2 linked regions of the Saccharomyces cerevisiae S288C genome follow. The protein of the gene in region 2 interacts with the protein of the main gene of each other region in a biochemical or structural test. Each region holds a gene or a part of one and is shown on either strand. Other genes may lie near its edges.

What was found.
Region 1: the proteins of CLN2 (region 2) and CDC28 form a complex in vitro, tested with the Saccharomyces cerevisiae proteins (8 studies listed by BioGRID, with this or other methods).

Annotation. Positions count from the first base shown.
Region 1 is NC_001134.8:558,352-561,633, forward strand, and holds CDC28 (cyclin-dependent serine/threonine-protein kinase CDC28), read left to right. Parts: upstream 1-1,726; coding exon 1,727-2,623; downstream 2,624-3,282. Other genes in the region: IFA38 (ketoreductase), read left to right, coding at 334-1,377. UniProt on the Saccharomyces cerevisiae protein: Cyclin-dependent kinase that acts as a master regulator of the mitotic and meiotic cell cycles. Required to drive the G1-S transition. More than 200 substrates have been identified. Substrate specificity is in part regulated by the bound cyclin protein.
Region 2 is NC_001148.4:64,692-68,450, reverse strand, and holds CLN2 (cyclin CLN2), read left to right. Parts: upstream 1-1,836; coding exon 1,837-3,474; downstream 3,475-3,759. Other genes in the region: BBP1 (Bbp1p), read right to left, coding at 1-726.

The DNA.
Region 1 (3,282 bases), on a different chromosome or scaffold from region 2:
ACTTTTTACTTGAAATTCCAGAAGGGCCGAAGAAACCAGAATTCCTTCACAGAAAACTATTGAACTACAGAATTCTCCAAAAGATACACTCATAGTGTTAAGACGAATCAATGTCTCGGATTTGGAAGTCCTTTATAGAGATAATTGTAGGGGCCTTTTGTAATGTTTCGGATGTTCTGTTTTAAGTCCGCGGGAGGCCTTTTTATTTTTCGCTTTTTTAGAGATTTCACGAATAAAAGCGTTGCAGAAATGCAACTTCAAAAGAGACTGAAGGAAACACAGATAGAAGAACAGTCTTCAAAGCAATCAATTCGTGTCGGTGCAGCTTAAGAAATGACTTTTATGCAACAGCTTCAAGAGGCTGGGGAAAGATTTAGGTGTATCAATGGTCTTTTATGGGTTGTTTTTGGGCTTGGTGTCTTAAAATGTACAACGTTATCACTTAGATTTTTAGCTCTTATTTTTGATCTTTTTTTACTACCAGCAGTCAATTTCGACAAGTATGGTGCTAAAACTGGTAAATACTGTGCTATCACTGGTGCAAGTGACGGTATTGGTAAAGAATTTGCTAGACAAATGGCGAAACGTGGCTTCAACTTGGTATTGATCTCGAGAACGCAATCTAAATTGGAGGCTTTACAAAAAGAACTAGAAGATCAACATCATGTCGTTGTAAAGATTCTAGCCATTGACATTGCGGAGGATAAAGAATCCAACTATGAATCCATTAAGGAATTGTGTGCGCAGTTACCAATCACCGTTTTGGTCAATAATGTTGGTCAATCACACTCCATTCCTGTTCCATTTTTGGAAACAGAAGAGAAGGAGCTTAGAAATATTATCACTATCAATAACACTGCTACATTATTAATTACACAAATCATTGCACCAAAGATTGTGGAAACTGTGAAAGCTGAAAACAAGAAGTCGGGTACTCGTGGTTTGATCTTAACCATGGGCTCATTTGGTGGTCTGATTCCCACCCCACTTTTGGCTACATACAGTGGTTCGAAATCATTCTTACAAGGTTGGTCTAACTCTTTGGCTGGGGAATTATCTAAAGATGCTATCGATGTTGAATTAATCATTTCATATTTGGTCACTAGCTCGATGTCTAAAATCAGAAGATCATCTTTAATGATCCCAAATCCACAACAGTTTGTAAAATCCACTTTAAGAAGCGTTGGCAGACGCTGCGGCTCTCAAGAAAGATACGCTACTATGACCCCTTACTGGGCGCACGCAGTGTATCAATTTGTAATTACAGAGACCTTTGGCGTTTACTCTAAGATTGTTAACTCCATTAATTATTCCTTCCATAAATCTATCAGAATTAGAGCCTTAAAAAAAGCCGCAAGACAGGTTAAAAAGGAATAGAATTATCGTTCTCGAGATAGTTTTTATACAATACATATATATATATATATATATATATTTACAAGAAAAGCATGGCTTATGTATTATACTTGCTTATGTACCAATATATACATATATGGCCTTATTAGGGCAACAAACGCCAAAAATAAAAACGAACCTAAATGAGAAAAAAAGAGAAAAATTTGGAAAACAACAAGAACTCAAAAAAAAAAATTGGTGGAAGGACCAAGTCCTCTTGAAAGAAAATTTAATACTGCTTTTCCAGAATATCATATTGGAAAAAATATTCAAGCCAGCACATCAGCTACAGTGGAAAATAGCCCAGATCAAATAGAACTATCCTTCGAACATGAGCGGTGAATTAGCAAATTACAAAAGACTTGAGAAAGTCGGTGAAGGTACATACGGTGTTGTTTATAAAGCGTTAGACTTAAGACCTGGCCAAGGTCAAAGAGTAGTCGCATTGAAGAAAATAAGACTAGAGAGTGAAGACGAGGGTGTTCCCAGTACAGCCATCAGAGAAATCTCATTATTGAAGGAATTAAAAGACGATAATATTGTCAGATTATACGATATTGTTCACTCTGATGCACACAAGCTATATCTTGTTTTTGAGTTCCTCGATTTGGACCTGAAAAGATATATGGAGGGTATTCCAAAGGACCAACCGTTAGGAGCTGATATTGTTAAGAAGTTTATGATGCAACTTTGTAAGGGTATTGCATACTGCCACTCACACCGTATTCTGCATCGTGATTTAAAACCGCAGAACTTATTGATTAACAAAGATGGGAATCTAAAACTAGGTGATTTTGGCTTAGCGCGTGCTTTTGGTGTTCCGTTGAGAGCTTACACACATGAAATTGTTACTCTATGGTATAGAGCTCCGGAGGTATTACTGGGTGGAAAACAATATAGTACAGGTGTCGATACATGGTCCATCGGCTGTATATTTGCCGAAATGTGTAACAGGAAACCAATCTTCAGTGGCGATAGTGAGATCGATCAGATTTTCAAGATATTCAGAGTATTGGGAACGCCGAATGAAGCTATATGGCCAGATATTGTCTACTTGCCTGATTTCAAGCCAAGCTTTCCTCAATGGCGCAGAAAAGACCTATCACAAGTGGTACCAAGTCTAGATCCACGCGGTATTGATTTGTTGGACAAACTCCTCGCGTATGACCCTATTAACCGGATTAGCGCCAGAAGAGCAGCCATCCACCCCTACTTCCAAGAATCATAAGCATTATAATCTATTTCGCTATTATATTACAAATGCTACTGCACTGTCATTATAGCCTAGTAAAGTATATAGTGAATACAATATACTCAGTTTCAACATTATGATGGGTAACTCCATCAGAAAATATATTCATCGTCATATACGGAACATTCAGTTATACGCGAAAGTAAAAGTGAGAGCTTTTCAGGGGTTAAAAGCTGGGCGTGTTCCATGACGTATTTACCGAGGTCGTATTATCAAAGAAAATGAAAAAAAAAAAAAAAAAAAAAAAAGCGAAGAGGAAAAAGACAAACGAAAAACAAAACGAAATAACGCATTGTATGCTGGGGCCTCAATTGAACTTCTTTGACTATAAGGAGTTCGCTTGTTTAAAGCCGTTTCGCATCTGACTCGCCCTTGGTTTTTTTCTCTGTTCTTGTTTTTGACCTCCGCAAATTCATTGCTCTTTGAATTTTGAAGAGTTTCATTGTCACCGTTGAATAACCGAGACGGGTATTGTTTTTATTTCCTTCATTATTTACATCGCAACACGATTTTTATTAGCTTCCTCAAGGAGCGCTGACCGTATATAATATAATTTCAACAACCGAACAAGGCAGTGCGAAGCGGTGCACCTTACAACAGTGCTAAAGTAGTTACAGTAAACCAATTAATACGTG
Region 2 (3,759 bases):
CTCACACAAATCTTCCAGGTCTCTACTGTTCAAGTCCATTTGTGCAAAAAGATCAAAATATGCCTTTTTATACTCTCTATTCTTGTGGCAAGCATCTTCGTCCCGGACATAGTAATTGTCTATTTCATCACGTTTTGTTAAGGGAGATGGAAATTTGCCTGGTATATCTTTAACCGATAACTTATAGGGCGATCTTCTAACCTCATTAACTCCATCCTTGTTAAATAATTTCGAGAGCAAAGGGTCGTCTTCCTGAGGTGGTATAAAGGGTATCTGCGAATTGGAAAGCTCATTTATAGTTCTCCTTTTTGTGTGTAGTCTGTGACCAAATGTATCCGTAGGTTCGTTACGAAGTGGTTCTCTCGGTACTATCGGAGCAGGACTTCGTAAAGATCGTATTCTCTCTTTGCTGTGGTGGTCACCGTTAACAATTGAGTTAAAGCCGTTCTCGTTGTACTCTGGGAGTAACTCGTACTTCCTATGGAGCGTTGAATCCAGACCAGACCACGAATTTGACCTCGATAAGTTTGTACTCCTCCTGTTGGAGTCATTTCCAAACTTCATAGAAAAATTTGTGTCGTCTTGGGCATACCTAGATCGGTCTCTTCGTTCTTCCTGATCTTTATATTTCATTGAAGGTGATATGTCCGTACCAAACAGCGCATCCTTAGTCCATTTGAAAAGACCAAAAATGCCCCCTCCGCCCGTGTTGTCTTCCTGATTCATTGTTCAGTAGTCATTCGCCTCTATGCTCCTTCGAAGATTGACTTTTTTCGTTGTTTTGATTTCCTCGTCTTCAGTCTCTTTATGTTGTATTAGTTTTCAAAGTGTCAAGTTTTTCGTGATTTTCACCGAGCGACACAAAAACGGGTCGCGTCAGAAATAATTTTAAAAGAGCAGCGTAATATACCGCTACAGAAAAATTGGTTCAAGTATCCATTTTTAAGCATCTTTGCTTCTATTTACTCTTGAAAATATTCCTCCAGTATCGCCTGTGTTGGAGTGCGGTAACTTTTATTGTTTTCTCTACGAGTGAAAGGCATTTTTTGAAACCACTATTCGTTTCCTTCTGTAAGTTATCTCATCTTTTTCGTATCCTCCGCACTTTTACCCTGAAATGCGAACTAAAGCAACTATACATTGTTAATAATGATACTGAGGTTCAAAAGTGCCAAGTTATCAATTCATGCGCGCTTTACCCGGCTCCATCTTTCCGAAAACGGAAATCATCGCGAAATTTGTCTCAACGGAAGTACACGAAATTCGTCCCGCTGAACCTCAAAACTGCGTGTTCTAGTCACGAAACGCGCCAAAAACCGTTATGTTTCCGCATGCGGATACCTAGCGAAGAGCACATTTGGCGTAGCCTGTTAAGTATAACTGCTAAAAATTGAAATGAACACCAACTGAAACAACTGTTGGCCCTTTTTGAGGATCTAACCTGCGAAATGTTGATCTGACAGGCCTACTGAAAAACGGAAAGGAAAAAAGGCCTGCGCAAACGCAGAACGCAGATCCGCCTTCTATTTGCGTATCGCACGCAGCCTCTGGCTACTTGTTTAACTTACTATCTCTTTCATATATAAAAAAATAGCAATCGACTCTGGTAACTATTATGCTCCTCTTACTGGTTTTTTAGTGAATTGGCAATAGATAATATCAAGGACAACTTACTTTTATTTTAACATCTACTTTACTTCATCGTCAAATTTTCTTCTTATATACAGCATTGCTAGACTCTATAGCTGCCAATTCATTCGCTTACCACATCATAATTTGCATACAAAAGAAAATCTTTTCTTTTTTCCATTCATTCATTAAATTTAACGACAGACAATGGCTAGTGCTGAACCAAGACCCCGTATGGGACTCGTCATCAATGCTAAACCGGACTACTATCCGATTGAGCTATCTAATGCAGAATTACTTTCTCACTTCGAAATGCTGCAAGAATACCACCAAGAAATCTCCACCAATGTTATTGCTCAATCATGTAAGTTCAAACCTAATCCAAAACTAATAGACCAGCAGCCTGAAATGAACCCCGTGGAAACAAGGTCCAACATTATCACTTTTTTGTTCGAGCTGTCTGTGGTCACTCGAGTGACAAATGGTATTTTTTTTCATTCAGTTAGATTATATGACCGCTATTGTTCCAAGAGAATCGTGTTACGGGACCAAGCCAAATTGGTTGTCGCTACTTGTCTCTGGTTGGCTGCTAAAACTTGGGGCGGTTGTAATCACATCATCAATAATGTAGTCATCCCTACTGGCGGAAGATTTTATGGTCCCAACCCAAGGGCACGTATACCTCGACTCTCTGAACTAGTTCATTACTGTGGTGATGGTCAGGTCTTTGATGAATCAATGTTTTTACAAATGGAAAGACATATACTAGACACTTTAAATTGGAACATTTATGAACCAATGATCAATGATTACGTTTTAAATGTTGATGAAAATTGTTTGATGCAATACGAACTTTATGAAAATCAAGTTACTTATGACAAACAATGCTCTGAAAAACGTCAGTCTCAATTATCCCAGGATAGTGATGCCACTGTAGACGAGAGGCCCTACCAAAACGAAGAAGAAGAAGAAGAAGACTTAAAACTAAAGATCAAGTTGATTAATTTGAAAAAATTCTTGATTGATGTATCCGCGTGGCAGTACGACTTACTTAGATATGAACTTTTCGAAGTATCGCACGGCATATTCTCCATTATCAATCAATTCACCAATCAAGACCACGGTCCTTTTTTAATGACTCCAATGACATCAGAAAGCAAAAATGGTGAAATTTTGAGTACCTTAATGAACGGCATTGTTTCCATTCCTAACTCCTTGATGGAAGTGTATAAAACGGTCAATGGTGTTCTACCCTTCATTAATCAAGTGAAAGAATATCACTTGGATCTACAAAGAAAACTGCAAATTGCATCCAACTTGAACATTTCGAGAAAGCTTACCATATCAACCCCATCATGCTCTTTCGAAAATTCAAATAGCACATCCATTCCTTCGCCCGCTTCCTCATCTCAAAGCCACACTCCAATGAGAAACATGAGCTCACTCTCTGATAACAGCGTTTTCAGCCGGAATATGGAACAATCATCACCAATCACTCCAAGTATGTACCAATTTGGTCAGCAGCAGTCAAACAGTATATGTGGTAGCACCGTTAGTGTGAATAGTCTGGTGAATACAAATAACAAACAAAGGATCTACGAACAAATCACGGGTCCTAACAGCAATAACGCAACCAATGATTATATTGATTTGCTAAACCTAAATGAGTCTAACAAGGAAAACCAAAATCCCGCAACGGCGCATTACCTCAATGGGGGCCCACCCAAGACAAGCTTCATTAACCATGGAATGTTCCCCTCGCCAACTGGGACCATAAATAGCGGTAAATCTAGCAGTGCCTCATCTTTAATTTCTTTTGGTATGGGCAATACCCAAGTAATATAGTTCCTGTTCTTTTCATGATAAATGAATGCCAATTTGCCAAACGTACCAAAAAGAGACCAATATTATAAGATTTATAAAAGAAAAGCTTTCATATTCTGCGGGAAAAGAGAGACCACATACTCAGTTTATCGCTATAATTTTAACGGTATATATTTATATTTTTGTAAATCAATGAAACAGCCAACTAAATTCTGTGTAGAGTTAAAAAAAGGACATTAAAAGTATTTTTCTTTGCTGATGGCACTCAAGTCTAATCTTATTAAAAAAAATCGATTATTAGAATAA